2 linked regions of the Macaca fascicularis genome follow. The protein of the gene in region 1 purifies or fractionates together with the protein of each later gene. This does not show direct contact. Links are inferred from orthologs where the notes say so. Each region holds a gene or a part of one and is shown in the gene's direction. Other genes may lie near its edges. The genes, in order: SIRT7 and UBTF.

Region 1 (10,223 bases):
AGCAGGAGGTGGAGAAGCTGGCCTCAGAGAACGCCAGCATGAAGCTGGAGCTCGACGCACTGCGCTCCAAGTACGAGGCGCTGCAAACCTTCGCCCGGACGGTGGCCCGCAGCCCCGTGGCGCCCGCCCGGGGCCCCCTTGCCGCCGGCCTGGGGCCCCTCGTCCCAGGCAAGGTGGCCGCCACCAGCGTCATCACAATAGTAAAGTCCAAGACGGATGCCCGATCGTAGGGACGCGCGTCTACCCAGGCGGGTCTTTGCGGGGCCACTAGGCACATGGCGAATTCGGCTGCCCTGTCCCTCTGTTTCCTTCTCTTCTCTTTCCTCCCTCTCTTCCCCGCCCTTCTCTCTTCCCTGCAAAGCACAACCTGTACCCCAGGGGCGCCGGGCTGAGCCCCTTTGATCTCGTCATTGTCGTCGTGTGTTTTGTATGTTGGGATTGGTCAGTTCGGCGGTGACGTGGGGTCGCGCCAACCCCTTTTGTACCAGGGCCATGCAGTCTTGGAGTCCAGAGTTGGTGCTGTGGGAATGGACTTGAGAGAGTTGCGGGAGAGAGAAGGAGAAGGCACGCTGGGCCTCACGTGTCCCCGAGCAGTGAGGGTTCCAGTGTGCCCTCCACTCCCGAGTGGCCACAGGCTTGTGGGCTGGGAAGGATTCACTCTCTTTAGCCCCAGGAGGGCAGCTCAGCTTAGCCCAGCACAAAGAGATGGGCTCTGCTCTGAGAGTAGGGCTGCCTTGAAGGCCCTGATGGGTGGACCACCAGCCTGGGCACAGTGGTGCTGGGGGCGTGCAGTTGGGGCCAAGGGCTGTGCGCTCAGGCCTGACCCGTTGCACTGAACAAGACCAAATCGCTGGCTGTGCACTTACGTGAGGGTGAGTCCAGTGTGCCCTGCGATGGGTCCCGTGTCACTGTTTACATGACCTATTTGTGTGGTTATATAGCCCTTTATTTAAAAGAGAGAAGTTCCTTTTACAAAGTTATTAAATTAATTATATGTTTAAAAGTTAAAGAAAAAAAGAGCTGCAGAGTATTTATAAAACTGTCTTTTAGAAAAAAAAAAAACAAGCAAGAAGACCATTTGACCATATAAATGGAAAAGGGAAGAAAGTATAATAGAAACTTTGCTAGTTAAAAAAAAAAGAAAAAAAAAATCCCTTTCTTGTAAACTTACGGACAACTCTTTGTGGCTGTTGGAGTTTAGTTTTTATATACACAGAGTTATCAGACATTATTTATAAAACTTAGTTTAAAAAAAGACAAAAAAAAAAAAGCCAAGCCGTGAGCCGACCAGAAGGCCGTCCTCTTTGATATCTTTTGCAATTGTACCGAAAGTGACTTACTCCTCTGCCCTTCCTGCTTCCGTCTCTTGCCGGTGCCGTGGTGTCGTCCGTGCCTGGTGAGGTTTTGTGCAGCGGTAAAGTGCTGGTGCTTCTGGTGACCTTCGACCTGTGGGTGTCACTTCTTGTGTCAGTTTTCCTGTGTTCGTTTTTTGGGTTTCGTTGTGCTTTTGCTTCTGCTGGCTTGCCGGACCTGGGCTGGGGTGCCAGGTGGCACCTGCTGCGTCAGAGCTCAACGAGTCTGTGCCCTCCACCTGCTCCTGGTCCCTAGGAGGTGAGACGTGGGGTTCTGTCACACTCCCCCCCGACTGAGCCTTGGCTACATCTGTGTCTAGGGCTTGGGCTGATCTGGTGGCCGGGTAGCTGAAACTGGGGGCCCCTTGGGGCCCCCCCACACTGCTCTACACCCACCACCTCTGGCCTTGGGTGGTGGTGGTGCAGGGACCAAGGAGTCACTGTGGGTGGCCACAGGGCTGTGGCCAAGCGTTCCCTGGCTGTCTTCCTCAGGCCTCAGTTTTGTTCCGATAGGCTTCATGTGGGGCCTCAGCCGGGGAACCCCTGGGGCCCGCACCGTGGGCTGCAGGTTTCGCCGCCTACTTGATCCCTGAGGTCTTTCCATGCTGCGGGTGGTGCTTCCAGGCAGAGTGGTTGGGGGCCCACCGGGCAACCCTTTCTTCCTTGTCCCTGCCTCACTCAGAGTCTTGGGAGCGTCCACCAGTGCAGACAAGGGCTACAGTCTCCAGGGCCGGTCTTGTCCCTCTTCTCCGCTGGTCCACGCTGGCAGCTCTTGGCTTTGGGCCTGCCTTCTGCCTCCCTTTGGGATCTGTCTTCCAGGGATCAGCTGCTTGGCTTCTGCTGGAGGTGCCTCCCTCTGGGGGCCCAACCTGCCTCCTGCTCCCAGTTCCTCACCAGAGGCTGCTGCCCTTCCTGGCTGGGCTCAGGAGGCTCCTTATAGGCATATGACGGGGAAGGGGTGCCCCCACCCACCTCCAAGAGGCTGCAGCCCCGTGTCTGGCCATGTGAGCCTTGGCCTTTCACCAGGGCTGCTGGTTTCTTCTCTGTGGGGCCCAGACTGCTGTAAAGCACACAAATGGGGGCTGGTAAGATGAAAAACTGGCCTGACGGGGCTTAACCCTGTGGGTGGTGGGATTTTGATCTAAGAGTTTGGCCTGGTGTGCCCATGAGATGGGAACAGGGATGTACCATCAACCCTTGTCATCTTCATGAGCTTTTCTTTGCTTTGAGCATTCAGAGACAAGTCCTGTTGCTACCTGGGTCAGCCTGAAAATGGAAATTCTGGCTGTTGATTCATGTCATTTAGTGACTTCATCCCCCTCCCCTCAGTCTGATCTTGTCTAAGTAGAATCCAGGCGTTAGTTGGAATCATAAGTATCCATAAAGAAAACGTCATGCTCTGCCTTGGAGCAGGGATAAACAGGCGCTCCCTGTCCTTGTGCGGCCCCCACTTTTGTCCTGGCTGCGGGTGGCCCTCCATTTTGAGCACCTCTGCCAGGCTGCAGACCTGGAGGCAAAGGGAGTGCGGAAGAGGAGGGTGTAAGGGTCGGCGCGTGTGAATGGGAGGTGCAGGTGCTGAATGGGAGGTGCAGGTGCTGAGTGGGAGGTGCAGGTGCTGAATGGGAGGTGCAGGTGCTGAGTGGGAGGTGCAGGTCCTCGGTGCGTTGGCAGAAGAGGCTTCTGGAGTTTCGAGGCCATACCTCCTTTCAAGAGCTTTGGATTTGGAGCGACTTCCCTGGGTCTAGGGGAGTGTTCCTGTCCCCTGTCAGGCCAGCCCTGTGGAGCCACTCTGCCCCTCTTCCCCTTCCCCTGGATTTCCTGACGTAGATGCTGTGTTCATGTGCAGATGTGAATGTGCTGTCCTTCTGATCTCTGTTAATCCCGCTTTCCTACTGAGAGGGTGGTGGTCTCTTCTCACCTCAGTTTTTCTGACACAGCGAATCGAGGGCTTTGGCCAAGGCCAGGTCTCTCAAACTTGTCCGCCAAGTAAACCGTGATATATGTCTTCCCTTCCACCTTGACTTTGCCCCAACTCCTCCTTTATCCTAACATGGACACTCAGATTTCAGAGGACTACCCAGCAGGGACAAGTCACCTCTCACCTGGAGAGTGAGGCCCCTGGCTGCTGCTCTGGGTGGCGCTGGTGTTGCTGGGGCTTCAGCTCTTGGTGCACGTTTCAGATAAGCATGCACACTTCTGACCGGTGGTCAGGGCCCGGCCCACGGCTCTGAGCGGCTGCAGCCTGCTTTGGGACGATGGTCAGGTCCCATGTTGTCCCTGCTGCCTCCCTCTGGAGTGGCCACTTGGCCAAAGCTCCCATCCACATCTGGAAAGTCTGAGCTGCGGCCTGCTGCACCGTTTCCGCTCTGGGATCTTGTGAGTTACTTTTTTAGGCTGTGGTTTGGTGAAAGGAACCAACACATTAACGATTTTTCCCCCCAGAAGCCACTGAATAATTCTTTTTGGTGTATTTTTGCCTTCCTGTTGGCTGTCTGGCCTTGGAGCAGGTCGGGAGAGTGAAGTACATAATCAGTGCCACACAGAGGCAGGGCATGTCTGAGACTGATGCCTGTCCTGCCTCTGGCCTGTGTCCTGGGTGTGTGCCGTACCTGCTGGGCCAGTCCCACACATTTCCACCCTGCCCCTGGAGCAGCAGCTTTGATACCATGGGTGTCCCTTGAGTCTGAGCTAGAGTGTGTCCCTGATAAACTGTGAGACCTCCCTGTTCTTGGTGACCCCAGTTGGGCTTTGACCCCTCCAGCAACCTTGTGTCCCATCCCTGCCCTTCCTCCCACCCCCTCAATCTGCTAGTCCCTGAAGCCTTTAACCAAACGGGAGTGGGCACAGAAAGCCTTCTCCTGGCAACAGGACAAGGGCTGCCCGCGTGTCCAGCCCTGTTGCTCTCCTGGCACTGAGAGGTGGATCCAAGCAGAGTTGATCAGTCCCCCTGCCAGCCCTGCCTAGGTCTAGCCAGGGGAGGTTGTGTGTGTGTGGGAGAAGACCCCGGGATGTGCTGGGGTGGGATGGAGGTTATTAAAGATCTAAGTGAGGAGGGGCTGGGGTTTGGATGCGGGGTGAGGCCCGAGCGCTCACACTTCGTGTAGGGCTGGCAGGGGCCTGACCTCGGGCAGGGCAGTGGCCTTGGTGCCCCACCCCTGCCCTGCGCAGTATTTATTGCTAAATTATTGTCCAGGAGGGGCAGCACTGGGCCTGGCCCCCCGGGTATTTATTGCTGTACATAGTGTATGTTTGTGATATATAAGGTTTTCTTTATTTTGTATATGATCAATAAACCTTTTAAAGAGACTGGCAGGTGCTTCTTTGGGGCGACGCGGCGGGCGGAGCCGGAAGAGGTGGGTGGGGGCGGGACCCGTCTTGCGCATGCGCCCTGAGCGCGGCCTGCCGTGTGAGGCGGAAGCGGAAGAGCGGGTCTCCAGGGGAGCGATGGCAGCCGGGGGTCTGAGCCGCTCGGAACGCAAAGCTGCGGAGCGGGTCCGAAGGTTGCGGGAGGAGCAGCAGAGGGAGCGCCTCCGCCAGGTACGCCGCCGTCGCTCCCCGGTCCGGCTATGCCCGGCCCGCGCCGCCGCTCACCGCCCGCCTGCCCGCAGGTGTCGCGCATCCTGAGAAAGGCGGCGGCGGAGCGCAGCGCCGAGGAGGGCCGGCTGCTGGCCGAGAGCGCGGACCTGGTAACGGAGCTGCAGGGCCGGAGCCGGCGGCGCGAGGGCCTGAAGCGGCGGCAGGAGGAGGCGAGTTCCGCGGGCGGCGGCCGCGGGCGCCCCCGGTTTCGGGAGCAGCCGGGGCGACGGGCGGTCCCGGGTGGGGCGGCCCGGGGCGGTGACCACCCTGGCGTCTTGGCAGGTGTGCGACGACCCGGAGGAGCTGCGAGGGAAGGTCCGGGAGCTGGCCAGCGCCGTCCGGAACGCCAAATACTTGGTCGTCTACACAGGCGCGGGAATCAGCACGGTAGGGAGGGAGGCGGGGGCGGACCCCAGGACGGAGTACGCGCTCCTGTAATCGCGAAAAACTCGCCTTTAAAGCAGCTTTAAGGTTTTTTCCCTTTCTTAGAGAAACACGAAATGACCAAAACTTACCTAAGGTAAACGCTTTTTAAACGCTTAGTTTGTGGTACAGCCAGTTAAAAACAGGCAAGGAGCAGAGATACGAATGGGCTGTAGTAGCTGACTGCTCGCAGTCACCCCCAGGTTATGTGGACAGAGCTAAGCCCAAAGCTGTCGTGATTCTCCACTGTGTTCTCTCCATGTTGAGGGAAGATAAGTAGAAAGTGACACAGTAAGAGCCGGAATACACCAGGTGAAGAAGAGAATTGCATTGTGTTTTGAGAAGTTTCACTGACAAGTTATCCTGGGCTGTGGGACATCACTAGCTTTGAAAGTGTAGCTGGCACGTCGTCCATCTAGTCCGATGGGTGAGTGTGGAGTGCTGGGCATGCGTAGGCGTAGCAGATCTGAAGGCCAGGTGATTTCTGTTCTCAGGAAGCCTTTAGGTGACAATCAGGTATGTGAACAAATAAGCATAATGTAAAGCTGGCTGTGCTGAATCACTAGAACAAACCCAGGCACACACTATGTGCTCTTGGAGTTGGGAAACCTACCTGGGTTGGCTTTTTGTGGGAGGTAGCCTTGATTGGGCCTTGAAGGATGGGTGAGATTTACAGGAGAAGGTGGGAATGAGGCACTCCAAGCAAAGAAGAGCAGAGGCTTAGCAGGAAGAATGCATAAAGGGAGTGCACTGCTGACTCAAATACCTGGAGCCCTGGCGTTTGGTCTCCTCCCTCCACAAGTCACATGTAAAAGTCCAGTCACGCTGGGCGCGGTGGCTCTTGCCTGTAATCCCAGCACTTTGGGAGGCTGAGGTGGGCAGATCATGAGGTCAGTAGTTCAAGAACAGCCTGGCCAACATGGTGAAACCCTGTCTCTACTGAAAATACAAAAATTAGCCGGGTGTGGTGGCAGGCACCTGCAATCCCAGCTACTCAGGAGGCTGAGGCAGGAGAATCACTTGAAACTGGAAGGCGGAGGTTGCAGTGAGCCTAGATCGTGCCACTGTACTCCAGCCTGGGCGACAGAGCGAAACTCTGTCTCAGAAAAAAAAAAAAGTCCAGTCATGTAATTATGTAACAGTCATGTGATCTCTTATGGAGCTTGCAATGGCAACTAGAAGCACATGCAGCTTGTGGATTTCATCTGAGTGTAACTGAGGTTTCTATCTTGAATGTGACTGTCCAAACCACTGCCGGGGGATGGTGCATTTTTCTGAGTTTAAGCAGGAGTCAGGAGTCCCCAAAAGGGAACAGAAGGCACCTTGATATCTTCTGTGCCCTCTCTGGCCTCAGTTTGTTTCACAGGATTGAAATCCTGGAAAGTTAGATGCTTATCTCATCTGGAGAAGTTGTTCTGCCTTTTTTTGTTTGTTTGCTTGTTTGTTTGTTTTGAGACGGAGTCTGGCTCTGTCGCCCAGGCTGGAATGCAGTGGCGCGATCTCGGCTCACTGCAAGCTCTGCCTCCCGGGTTCACGCCATTCTCCTGCCTCAGCCTCCCAAGTAGCTGGGAATACAGGTGCCCGCCACCACGCCTGGCTAATTTTTTGTGTTTTTAGTACAGACGGGGTTTCACCATGTTAGCCAGGATGGTCTCGATCTCCTGACCTTGTGATCCACCCACCTGGGCCTCCCACAGTGCTGGGATTACAGGCATAAGCCACCGCGCCCCGCCTATTCTGCCTTTGTTAAGGTGGAGCGGGAACAGTCAGCACTGGGACGTGAGAATAGACAGTTGCCTGCCCCCACCTAGGGATTCACCTTTTTTTTTTTTTTGAGACGGAGTCTCGTGCTGTTGCCCAGGCTGGAGTGCAGTGGCTGGATCTCAGCTCACTGCAAACTCCGCCTTCCGGGTTTGCGCCATTCTCCTGCCTCAGCCTCCCGAGTAGCTGGGACTACAGGCGCCCGCCACCTCTCCCGGCTATTTTTTTTGTATTTTTTAGTAGAGACGGGGTTTCACTGTGTTAGCCAGGATGGTCTCGATCTCCTGACCTCGTGATCTGCCCGTCTCCGCCTCCCAAAGTGCTGGGATTACAGGCTTGAGCCACCGCGCCCAGCAGGGATTCACCTTTTGCTAAATGTGTGAGCCGTGGGCTCGGCCCTGGGGGCACTTAGGAACATGACTAGTCTTCCCCTGCGGTGTGGAGGACACATGTGCCACAGAGCCCAGCTTTGTGCTCGGTGCCAGAGAGGCTTCCGGGGACAGGCAGGGCTGCGTGCAGCCTGGAAGGATGAGCCAGGCCAGGCGGGAAACAGAAGTCCAGGTAGAAGGGAGGAGCCGAATTGGGGTGCACTTCATATGGGCTCAGGCAGGTCAGCCTGTGGAATGAACAGATGCCAACATGCAGGCCGGCCTGGAATGTGGCAGGAGTGACAATGGCTTCCCATTTCTGGGAATTCTGCCAGTGCCTACGGTGGTGCCTTTTTACTTGGCTTACTTTTTTTCTCGACATGCAGGCAGCATCTATCCCAGACTACAGGGGCCCTAATGGAGTGTGGACACTGCTTCAGAAAGGGAGAAGCGTGAGGTAAGTGGGACAGGCGCGGCCTCCCATATAGGCTGAGCAGAGGCAGCATGGGCCTGAGCTCCGGCTGTCCTCACCTTGCCTTCCTTTCTGCCTGGCAGTGCCGCTGACCTGAGTGAGGCCGAGCCAACCCTCACCCACATGAGCATCACCCGTTTGCATGAGCAGAAGCTGGTAAGAACCCTGGGTGGCTGGTACACTTGCCTGGGACCAGGCAGAGCACCTTGGTGCGCAGTGGGCAACTGCATTCTCCCTCCGTCTGCCAGTTGACTCCCATCATGAGCACCCACCAAGTGGGTTAGGCCCCAGATTTGATCCTCCCATGCTTCCTCTCCAGGACAAAAGGGGAGCACCCCCTCTGGAACCATCCCATCCACAGCCAGCCTCAGCCCCAGAGCTGCTGGTGGTCTTTCCCCTTTGTGATTCCATTGCATTTTTCTGTGGACCTCAGAAGCCATCCTAGTTACAGGGGAGGCTTATAGGACATCTCTGGGGACCTTCTGCTGAACACCCTCAACCAAGGGGTGTAGGGGTTGACCTGCCTAGGTCCCGAGGCACCTGAAATGTCATGACCCAAGAGAGCATGGATCCGGGGTGGAGTGGCCCTTGCCAAAGCCCTGAGCCACTTCCCATCCTTGCCTTGACGGTGCAGCGTCTTGCCCTCCCAGCCACTCCAGGTGCATCAGGGCTGGAGGAGGGACATAGCCCCTCCCCACCACAGGCCCTCTTGAGTCCTGGTGGTTGGACCTGTTGTGTGTTTTACTTTCTAAGGCTCTCTGCGGGGTTGGAGCTACCCCTGGTCTTGGGAGCCACTGGCTGGGCTCATAACAGCCTCGCTGTGGCTGAGTACTGACCTCGCCGTCGCCACCCGTCTGCCTTCCAGGTGCAGCATGTGGTGTCTCAGAACTGTGACGGGCTCCACCTGAGAAGTGGGCTGCCGCGCACGGCCATCTCAGAGCTCCACGGGAACATGTACATTGAAGTGAGCAGTCCTGCGGTGACCCGGGGTCTCCATGGGCAGGCGGGTCCCACTCACTGTGCCCTCTTGCCTCCAGGTCTGCACCTCCTGCATTCCCAACAGGGAGTACGTGCGAGTGTTCGATGTGACGGAACGCACCGCCCTCCACAGACACCAGACAGGCCGGACCTGCCACAAGTGTGGGACCCAGCTCCGGGACACCATTGTGCACTTTGGAGAGAGGGGGACGTTGGGGCAGCCTCTGAACTGGGAAGCAGCGACTGAGGCTGCCAGCAGAGCAGACACCATCCTGTGTCTAGGGTCCAGCCTGAAGGTACGTGCTGATGATACCAGGAATGAGCCGAGCCCCCGCCTGCCCGAGGGTGTCCAGCTCTGTTGCCCAGCACTTTACAGACTTGTCCCCTGTGTGTGTGCTGTGTCTGTCTGTCTGTTTCCGCAGGTTCTAAAGAAGTACCCACGCCTCTGGTGCATGACCAAGCCCCCTAGCCGGCGGCCGAAACTCTACATTGTGAACTTGCAGGTAACTTGGGTTCTGAGAGTCACATCCTTAGACCTGGGTCTTAGAATGCAGAGCTGGAGACACCCCACACCCATGCACCAGGGCAGTCTGATAGGGCCCCCGTGGGTGCTCAGGGAGCACTGACCGAGCCCACGGGCCGAGGCTGACAGGCCACCAGGAATGGTCGGGCTGCTCTTACTCTCACTTGGCTTTCCCTGTCCTCAGTGGACCCCAAAGGATGACTGGGCTGCCCTGAAGCTACACGGGAAGTGTGATGATGTCATGCGGCTCCTCATGGCCGAGCTGGGCTTGGAGATCCCCGCCTATAGCAGGTGAGTAGACCATTGCAGCAGCCCGCTTCCCTGCACCTCTGTGTGCTGGGCCGTGTCTGTCTTCTCTCGTGAGCTGAGCGTGGAGGAAGCTCTGAGGTGTTTGCAGCGGTGTCTGAGGCATGACTGAAGCGTGGTGGTCTCCAGAGGGCCTGACCTCAGTGGTTCGCGGAGACCCTGCGTGTGCCACTCCTGCCCTGGCTGATGTGGCACACACAGTCCCCGCGGGGAGAGGGATTCTGCCCACGTGCTCCTGCTCCAGGCCTCCCCGTGGAGCTCTTCAAGATGCCTGGTGGGAAGCATCTCGAGGGGACGAGCACTTGGCAGCTCTGGTCAGACAGAATCTGTGTGCTTGGTTTTGGGAGTTGGCGTACTTTGGGAAAGCTTAAACAGACTGTGCCTTAATACAGAATTTGTGATAATTTAGACTTGGTGTATGTATTGAGTAAAAAGTTTACACTCTCTTTCTCTGTGAATTTTCA
Region 2 (9,478 bases), about 23 Mb from region 1:
GATAAGGTTATGGCTGGGTCTCTGAGAGCGTGGACCTGCCCACCTTTACTCTGGGCGGGGAGGGTTAGAAAGTCGTTCACCTCTCAGCCTTCCTGAGTGGGAACTTGTATGTCTTCCAAAGGGTGAGGTGGCTTTGACCCCGGGTTGCCCGGCCAGCACGACCGAGGAGGTGGCTGGACAGCTGGAGGATGAACGGAGAAGCCGACTGCCCCACAGACCTGGAAATGGCCGCCCCCAAAGGCCAAGGTAGGGGCATCCACTCCCAGCCCTCTGAAACTTAAACCCTCTTTGCCTCGTGGCTGTGGGGCACACTGCCTTCTTCAAGGGCTTTTCCAGTCTGCATACACTGAATTGGGGGAGAAAGTGCCTTGAGTACTTATGAATCAAGCATCTCCCACACTTGATTGGTTTGGCTGAATCCAAATTTTTTGGCCTGGAGTGGCTTACCTCCCCTCTCTCCCTGTCCCTCACACCCTATGTTAGAGGAGGCCTGCCTTCTGGGGTTTGCATTCAGCCTTAAGTGTGTCCCAGCCCAGTGTCCTGGAATGGGAGGAATGATGACTGTAGAGGGAAGGCTTCTCAGGCTTTTTAGGAAGACCATGAGGCTTTTGTAGAGGCAGGTGGAGAAGAGGGCTGTTGTGGTGGTTTGAGGCCCCAAGCCATGGGATATATGTACTCAACTAGATCTCTGCCTCATTCAGCAGTGATCCAGTTTGGATGGGGGTGGAGGGTAGGATGGAGCTGGGCAGCTGGCCATGCTTGTGGGACATTGAGGGGAGAGGGGATTATGGGTCCTTGTGGCCCATTCTGCAGAATCCCTGGCCTAGGTTACGAGATGCAAATGAAAATGGAGAGCCCTTTTGACTTCTGGCCTTGGGTGACTATTCTCCCAGCCCATCCACAGAGGCCTAGAGCTCTCTGGGGCTGCATTTCAGTGGCTGAAAATAACTGGTCCAGACCTGGTCTTGCTTCCCTGGGGAGTTGGGCTGACAAGACAGCTTGTAATTCTGGGGGTTCTCCCTGGATCAGGGCCCTGAGAGCTTTTGTGCACCTGCCTACTTTGCCTCAGAGTTGCCCTGTATCCTGCTTCTGTTTCTGTTTCTTTTTTCTTATTTGCCAGAAATTCTCCCTTGATCTGCCTTGAGGGGCCAGGGGATAGTGGGTATCTCTAACATCAGTCTCCAGCTGTGCAGGAGAAACATGTGCATGAATTTTCCCTACTGCCCACACCCCATCCTCAGTCCTTGCACATTTAGAATATCCACTCAGAACTTGAACTTGGCAGCACATTTAGATACAATGCCTCCTTGCTTCCCTCCTCTGACAAGCTATCTCATTTCCCACAAAGTCCTGAATCACTGTACCTTCATTTCCACCCCTCTTCCCCTTATAGCAAATAGCTGCCTGTTGCAGCTTGGCACAGTAGAAATGATAATAGCTTTGAAGCAAGCCAGACTTGAGTTTGAGCCTGGCTTTCTAGGTATAGCATGGTCTGGACTGGAGTCCCTGCCCTCATCCAGTATGGCCACAGTTTCCTTAGGGCTGAGCCATATCTTGTCTCTGCCTTCAGATGGGAAGCAATCAGGGGCTGGGATGCCCTAGGGAGGAAGAGTTGAGCACTCAAGAACTGGGGAACAGATTTGGGGGATAGCATGAGCCAGGCATGATGGCCTCTGTTACCCTTCACCAGACCGTTGGTCCCAGGAAGACATGCTGACTTTGCTGGAATGCATGAAGAACAACCTTCCATCCAATGACAGCTCCAAATTCAAAACCACCGAATCACATATGGACTGGGAAAAAGTTGCATTTAAGGACTTTTCTGGAGACATGTGCAAGCTCAAATGGGTGGAGATTTCTAACGAGGTAACTGATCCCCCCTTTCTGACACACGCACATACATATACAAACATTACCCCCTCCTCAGCCGTGGTAGGGGAAGTGAAACAGGCTGTAAACAGGAAGGAAAGACACCAGGAGAGGCGTTCATGTGGTCGCACGTTAGCTCTCTACCTGCCCCTTTGCATTTTGGGAGGTGGCACGGTTGACAGCACTGGCTTAAAGTTATGCCACTTTCTATCTGGGTGGTCTTGAGCCGAACAGCCTGAGCTGTGCTGAGATTGACAGAGGTGCTAACATGCTGAGATTGAAGGAGGTGCTGGCATGGACAACCAGGTTGAGGTCAGGTAGTCCCTTTGTTGCTGGCCTTTGGTGTGTACTGACTGCCTGGGCCTCTGTGGTAGGCATGGGCCAGTGCCTGGGTGTCAGGGTGCCTGCTTCATTTGGCTGTTGGCCTCTGCTCTTCTTTGGTAAATTTAGTCTGCTTCATTTGGCTGTTGGCCTCTGCTCTTCTTTGGTAAATTTAGTCTAGTAAAGAGTAGAAGAGACCCATTATAAGATGGGGGTATGCTACTGTGTGGCATTTTCCTTTTCCCAACTTCCCCTTCCTCCCGCCCCTCTTCTTCCAGGTGAGGAAGTTCCGTACATTGACAGAATTGATCCTCGATGCTCAGGAACATGTTAAAAATCCTTACAAAGGCAAAAAACTGAAGGTGAGTTACTAGAAGGAGGAGCATGAGGGGTAGGGGAGGAAAGATCCAAAGAACGGATGGTATTTGACCTCCATTGTGTCCTTGTTCCTTGTCCCTTCTTCCAGAAACACCCAGACTTCCCAAAGAAGCCCCTGACCCCTTATTTCCGCTTCTTCATGGAGAAGCGGGCCAAGTATGCGAAACTCCACCCTGAGATGAGCAACCTGGACCTAACCAAGATTCTGTCCAAGAAATACAAGGAGCTTCCGGAGAAGAAGAAGGTGGGGGGAGGAGAGTTAAGGTGGGAGGAGGGGAGAGGCTGGGAGCAGCTGGTGTGGTGTGGGTCGGTTGGAGGTAGGCCTTGGAGAGACCTGGCATCAGGGACGAGGGTGAGTCAGCACAGCAGAGTAGGTCCTGGGCAGGCACACCTGATCGCCCCTTCCTCGGCCCACACATGTTCAGGCACAGGCACCACCACAGATGCTCAGACAGCAGATGCTCAGACCAACCTTTCCCCCTACAGAAAACCCACAGCATTCTGTTTCATCAGGCTCTCTCCCCCATACACCCATCCTCACTGTTAGGCTGCGCAGCACTTCTTCACTCTCTATGACGTTTCCCGTCATGGTCTCATCTGATACTTGCGATGTCTTCATGAAGGTAACCCCAGGAAAAGGTTATCCCAGTTTTGTGGGCAAGGAACTGAGGTGCAGGAGGGTTAAGTGTCCTAGGTGACACAACTATTGATACTAGAGCAGGATTTAGTGCCCCAGAGTCCCAGTCCAGTGCTGTTACTGCCATGTCCACCTGTGAAGTGCACTTCCTTCTCCACACACACATGTTCACTCAAGGACACACATTGTCCCTCCTGGCCTCATACTGTTCCTTGCAGAGGTCGGGCACTGTCCCAGACCATCAAAGCATTAACCCTGGTTGGAGGGTTGCCCAAGCCTCCCAGGCAGGACTGCAGCACAGAGCTCAGAAGGTCCCTCCCAGAGAAAGGCAGCAAAACATTGGAGGAGCCCTGCAGATGGGACATGAGGAAGATGGGATGGGGACAGGGGACACAAGAGACACTGGACAAGGAGACAGAGCCAGGGATAGATGGGGAAGGGCAGCGGGAAAGACAAGGAGCACATCTGCTTGGAGAGGAAACAAAGCCACACACAGCCAGTTCTCAAAAGGTGGCACCAGCCGCCGCTATGCTATTAGTAGCCCTTTTTCCTGGTTGGCATGCCCTGGCTGCAGACTGACATGCCCTTGGTGCTGTACCCAAAAAAGCCAGCTGTCTGCAACCACTGCCCAAGCAGAGCAGGGGTATGGATTGCTGGAACTGTTGTTGACTCTTTTGATAAGGATGTTGGACAGTTGACTGCACACACCCAGACACTCATGGGATGGGAGGGAGAGGCCAAGCTCTAGAGTCAGAGTCAGGGAAGGCCAGAATAAACTGGTAGAGTGGATGAGGTGCTGTCCTGGGGGGCACAAGACTTGGGCCTGTTCTCCTGGCTCTGCCACTGAATCGCTGTGTATGGGGCCTTTGGTAAGTCATTTTACTTCTCTGGGCCTGGTCCTTATGTGAGGTGAGCCAGGTCTGTGTGGTGTTCTCCAGCTCTAAAACTGTTTTGTCTGAGGAGGACTGAGATTGGAGAAGAGGAGGCTGAGCTCTGCTTCTGGTTTTCTGTGGGAACTATGGGAGAGGAGCGCTGCCTCTCTCTGTCTGGTGCTTCTATAAGAGGCGGGTTGGGCTCAATTGCCATGAGCTCCTGGCACCTGCCAGTGCCACTCTTGTGAGCCTGCGAGGATGAAAGAAGAGATGGACATTGCGTGGCAGCCAAGAGAGGAGGTTGATGAAGAGAAAGAGACACATTGGAAAGGAGGAACAAGAGGGAGACTTTGCAGAAGTGGGGAAAGATGCAGGGAGGGAGTGAGGTGAGGGTGGGAAGGCAGTGGGGAGGCCAAAAAGGGGGTGATGAAGGGAAGGGAAGCCAAGTGGTGGGAGAGAATGAGTGGGCTGAGGGAGGGAGGGCTGGAGGGGACAGACAGCTGGGATCCTAGAGAAAGGGAAGAAGGTAATGGTGTCAGAAATAGGCGGGAAGGTGCAGGGCAGCTGGCTGTGACTTGTATTGGAAGAACTTACTCTGGGTTCCCCTCCACACAATCTCCCTTCATGCCTTGGAAATAGGACTCAGCCCAGCCCTGGCCCTATGTAGAGGCCACCTCCAAGGGGCCAGACTAATGTCAGCTGCCTCAGACAGTGAGAAGAGGGAGCAAGGCCTGCACCCGACTCCACTGTGAGAGTTCTGTGGTATTGGAGAAACGAGTGGGGGAGCCTCAGCGCTGCCACCACGCACTGTGTGACTGTGGGTAATGCCATGGCCCCCTTCTGGGACTCTCGCTCAGAAGGAGAGAATAGGATATAGGATTCAGTGTCTGGGCAGCCCCTGCAGCTCCCACCATCTGTGGTAGAAGCCAGCAGGTCTGCTCTGTGGTGAGTCCCGCCGGGAGGCGGGCAGGGCACCAGCCTCCACTCCCTGCATCACAGCGTGGGAGGCAGAAGAGCCAGCGAGGAGGGGCCTGGGTAGCCTTCATAGCTCAGGGCAAGATACCCTTGGGTCCTGGGTGACCCTATCCCCTCCTCCCCCCAGATGAAATATATTCAGGACTTCCAGAGAGAGAAACAGGAGTTCGAGCGAAACCTGGCCCGATTCAGGTAAGGCAGTGGAGCCCAGAGGAGGGCTATGGGGAACTGGGGGCAGCAGAATAGGCTAACCCTGGCCAGAGCCTGGAGTTTGCCATCTCTGAGGCATGGAAGAGGATGGGTCACATGTGAGCCCTAGTGTGTCATGCTCAGGGGCAGGGACAGGCAGGCAGCCACTGTCCCACTAAGCCCCAGCTGAAAGGCCCAGGAGGCTTGGTGGGTGGGGCAGCTAGCTTGGGTCTGCCCTGACAGCGTCCCCTGCTGATCCTTGCTCCCCATGTCCTGGCTAGGGAGGATCACCCCGACCTAATCCAGAATGCCAAGAAATCGGACATCCCAGAGAAGCCCAAAACCCCCCAGCAGCTGTGGTACACCCACGAGAAGAAGGTGTATCTCAAAGTGCGGCCAGATGTGAGTGTCCGGCCAAGGGCTGGGGATGGAGGATGCACGGCGGTGGCCAGGGGGGAGCCGCACCAGGTCGGCCGGGCACGGTGCAGGGGAGCAGGAGAGGAGGCCCCTCCCCAGGGGTGGGCTGCATGGACAGGGCCCGGGCCAGCTGGCGTGCGAGCGTGTGCGTGCGTGCGTGTATGAGCCAGTCCCCTTGCACCTAGGCGGGATTGCCGCCTCTCCGCCTTCCCCTCCTGGCCTGTGGGGGACACTGATGTGACCTCCCATGGCCTGAGGGGGCGGGGGCATCTGTGCCCCCTTCCCCCCTCCCCCTCCCCCTGCCCCTGGCTGCCTGTGCGTGTCTGACGGCTTTTGGTTTGCAGGCCACTACGAAGGAGGTGAAGGACTCCCTGGGGAAGCAGTGGTCTCAGCTCTCGGACAAAAAGAGGCTGAAATGGATTCATAAGGCCCTGGAGCAGCGGAAGGAGTACGAGGTTAGGCTTCCGCTGCGCTCCTCCCTGTCCGGCTCTTCACGAGCCTCTGCCCTCTGACTCCGTGGCCACCGCACTCTGCGGGAGGTGTCACTCCCCATCCTCTGTTGAGGGAGGGGCCTTCTGGGCCCCTCACCTCTGCCCCTACCTTCCCCACCCCCCACCCCTATGAGATCTCAGGCTAGGGCAGGGCAGGGCACCATGTCTCATGTGACACCATTGACGCGCAGCCATTCCCAGCTTTGCTCCCTGCCTGCCCTCCCCAGCGGCTCTCCCCGTGCCCCTGCCGCAGCTAACCCCACACCCCATTGCCCTCCATCCCCCCACCTGGCTCTGCAGGAGATCATGAGAGACTATATCCAGAAGCACCCAGAGCTGAACATCAGTGAGGAGGGTATCACCAAGTCCACCCTCACCAAAGCTGAACGCCAGCTCAAGGACAAGTTTGATGGGCGACCCACTAAGCCACCTCCGTGAGTGCTGCCCTGGGGTGGGTGGGCGAGTGGGCAGCTGGGAAGTTGGGCTGGGCTCTACGGGTGAGGCGGCCTGCTGTCCTGCTTGCTCACGGGCTGCGCCTCTCTCCCCATGGCTCTGATAGGAACAGCTACTCGCTGTACTGCGCAGAGCTCATGGCCAACATGAAGGACGTGCCCAGCACGGAGCGCATGGTGCTGTGCAGCCAGCAGTGGAAGCTGCTGTCCCAGAAGGAGAAGGACGCCTATCACAAGAAGTGTGACCAGGTGAGCTGTGGCAGGGGCCACCCTGCCTTGGGGTTTTGAAGCATGAGGTCTGATCCCATCTTGGGCTAGTCAGTCCCTGGTGGCGTGTGCCTTGGGTACTTGCCTCCAATTCGGTGTGGGGCTGGGCTGGGCTTAGCAACTGAGCCCATCCAGGCAGGGAGTCCAGCCCACACCCAGGCTCTGGAGGCCCACTGAAGGTCACTGTCCTCTGAGTACTGCAGGGTCTGTGGTGACACTGTCACCAGAATGATCCTGACTCCACTCACTTTCCCAGAAAAAGAAAGATTACGAGGTGGAGCTGCTCCGTTTCCTGGAGGTAAGTGTTCCTCCGGTAGGGCAGTGGGCAGAGAGGACTGGGGCTTGGCAGGCAGAGCCCTCGTGAGCCCTGTGCCCCTCTTTCCTCTCCAGAGCCTGCCTGAGGAGGAGCAGCAGCGGGTCCTGGGGGAGGAGAAGATGCTGAACATCAACAAGAAGCAGGCCACCAGCCCCGCCTCCAAGAAGCCAGCCCAGGAAGGGGGCAAGGTGGGCAGAGGGTGCGGCCGCGCAGGCGGGGGTGGGCAAGACTGGGCTCCCTGGCAGCACCACGGACCCCGACCCTCTGCACCTGGACAGGGCGGCTCCGAGAAGCCCAAGCGGCCCGTGTCGGCCATGTTCATCTTCTCGGAGGAGAAGCGGCGGCAGCTGCAGGAGGAGCGGCCTGAGCTCTCCGAGAGCGAGCTGACCCGCCTGCTGGCCCGAATGTGGAACGACCTGTCTGAGAAGAAGAAGGTCAGGCTGCCTGGCGGAGCGCCGTGCCCTCAGCGGGGCTGCCAGGGCCCCCTCCTCCCCTTGGCGGGCCGCGCCACCTCGCCCCTGGCCGCCTCAGCCAGCCTGAGCCACGCGGTGCCTGGGCTGGGACGTGGGGCCGGCGCCCAGCAGCCGGAAGGCGGGAAGCTGTCAGCTGAGCGCTGCGGGCCAGGCGGGGGCGAGCCCCAGGCGGGAGACATCTGCACCAGCCCACGCCTCTGCCTGCTGGCGGGTGCGCCTGAGCTGCTGCGCGGGGAGCGCGCGCCCCCTGGGGGTGGGTGGAAGGCTGACGCCCGGGCCATCCCCGCAGGCCAAGTACAAGGCCCGGGAGGCGGCGCTCAAGGCTCAGTCAGAGAGGAAGCCCGGCGGGGAGCGCGAGGAAAGGGGCAAGCTGCCCGAGTCCCCCAAGAGAGCTGAGGAGATCTGGCAACAGAGTGTCATCGGCGACTACCTGGCCCGCTTCAAGGTGACGGGTGGGAAGAGGTAGTACTGCAGCCTCCAGCCCCGGGTGACCCCTCCCAGGGCTGATACCCTTGTTGGTCCTCAGAATGACCGGGTGAAGGCCTTGAAAGCCATGGAAATGACCTGGAATAACATGGAAAAGAAGGAGAAACTGATGTGGATTAAGAAGGCAGCCGAAGACCAAAAGCGATACGAGGTAGGAATGGGGCTGGGGCCACCCCATTTGTTGAAAGCTCGAGCACTCCCCTTTGGGTGAGCCTCTCTGAGCAAGAAGGCCCAGTCTTGGTCTGTGACCCTCAGCAAGCCTCAGCTTCCTTCTCTGAACCCCTGTCTCTCATCAGTAAGGTGGGGGTGACATTGCTAGCCTCCAGGCTGACTCGGGGGACACGAGCAGTTGTGAAAGCACTTGTAAACTGTGGTGCCTGCTACAGATGTGAGCTGTTAGGAGGTTGCTCACTAGCTCTACCTGTTTTTCCTCCCCAGCACAGAAAAAGGCAGCCAGCTAAGGTGCTGATGGCATGGGGCAGAAGGCAACAGTATTTTGGGGGTGGGACTGGGGGGTGAATGTGACCTTTCTCCTTCCAGAGAGAGCTGAGTGAGATGCGGGCACCTCCAGCTGCTACAAATTCTTCTAAGAAGATGAAATTCCAGGGAGAACCCAAGAAGCCTCCCATGTGAGCCTGGGGGCTGGAGCCTGCCCTGGAGGTGGGGGAGGGTCAGGGCTGGAGGGCTGCTTTGTTGGGGTCCTGACCCTCCTTGTACCACCCCCACCTTCCAGGAACGGTTACCAGAAGTTCTCCCAGGAGCTGCTGTCCAATGGGGAGCTGAACCACCTGCCGCTGAAGGAGCGCATGGTGGAAATAGGCAGCCGCTGGCAGCGCATCTCCCAGAGCCAGAAGGAGCACTACAAAAAGCTGGCCGAGGAGCAGCAAAAGCAGTACAAGGTGCATCTGGACCTCTGGGTCAAGGTGAGAGAGCAAGGGGCCCTTGAAAGGAACAGGGAGGCATCAGACTAAGCCAGCACCAGCCCAGCCTGGCCCACCCACCCACTTGTGCTGGCTGGTCTCATTCATGATTTCATTCCATGCCCTCGCAATCCTGCAGGATAACGGTTACTATCACCCTTTTGTTTTTATATTTTGAGACAGAGTCTTGCTCTCTTGCACAGGCTGGAGTACAGTGGTGTGATCTCGGCTCACTGCAACCTCCACCTCCCAGGTTCAAGCGATCCTCCTTCCACAGCTCCAGAGTAGCTGGGGCTACAGACAGGCACCACACCACCACACCTAGCTAATTTTTGTATTTTTAGTAGAGATGGGGTTTCACCGTATGTTGGGCAGGCTGGTCTTGAACTCCTGACCTCATGTGATCCGCCTACCT

What was found.
Region 2: the proteins of SIRT7 (region 1) and UBTF purify together in Homo sapiens (affinity purification with western blotting; 3 studies listed by BioGRID, with this or other methods). This does not show direct contact. The link is inferred for Macaca fascicularis from reciprocal best matches to the Homo sapiens genes SIRT7 and UBTF.

Annotation. Positions count from the first base shown.
Region 1 is NC_088390.1:88,293,218-88,303,440, reverse strand, and holds the start of SIRT7 (NAD-dependent protein deacetylase sirtuin-7), read left to right. Parts: upstream 1-4,760; 5' UTR 4,761-4,796; coding exon 4,797-4,889; intron 4,890-4,960; coding exon 4,961-5,098; intron 5,099-5,210; coding exon 5,211-5,315; exon of another isoform or gene 5,316-6,159; intron 6,160-7,062; exon of another isoform or gene 7,063-7,743; coding exon of another isoform or gene 7,744-7,866; coding exon 7,867-7,937; intron 7,938-8,035; coding exon 8,036-8,108; intron 8,109-8,817; coding exon 8,818-8,916; intron 8,917-8,989; coding exon 8,990-9,226; intron 9,227-9,352; coding exon 9,353-9,433; intron 9,434-9,637; coding exon 9,638-9,744; intron 9,745-10,223. Other genes in the region: transcription factor MafG, read left to right, coding at 1-230. UniProt on the Homo sapiens protein: NAD-dependent protein-lysine deacylase that can act both as a deacetylase or deacylase (desuccinylase, depropionylase, deglutarylase and dedecanoylase), depending on the context. Specifically mediates deacetylation of histone H3 at 'Lys-18' (H3K18Ac).
Region 2 is NC_088390.1:65,266,873-65,276,350, reverse strand, and holds part of UBTF (nucleolar transcription factor 1), read left to right. Parts: intron 1-121; 5' UTR 122-188; coding exon 189-246; intron 247-1,690; coding exon 1,691-1,866; intron 1,867-2,468; coding exon 2,469-2,552; intron 2,553-2,656; coding exon 2,657-2,812; intron 2,813-5,179; coding exon 5,180-5,244; intron 5,245-5,522; coding exon 5,523-5,643; intron 5,644-6,002; coding exon 6,003-6,113; intron 6,114-6,449; coding exon 6,450-6,583; intron 6,584-6,708; coding exon 6,709-6,850; intron 6,851-7,124; coding exon 7,125-7,166; intron 7,167-7,258; coding exon 7,259-7,372; intron 7,373-7,462; coding exon 7,463-7,618; intron 7,619-7,946; coding exon 7,947-8,102; intron 8,103-8,183; coding exon 8,184-8,294; intron 8,295-8,683; coding exon 8,684-8,772; intron 8,773-8,876; coding exon 8,877-9,066; intron 9,067-9,478. UniProt on the Homo sapiens protein: Recognizes the ribosomal RNA gene promoter and activates transcription mediated by RNA polymerase I (Pol I) through cooperative interactions with the transcription factor SL1/TIF-IB complex.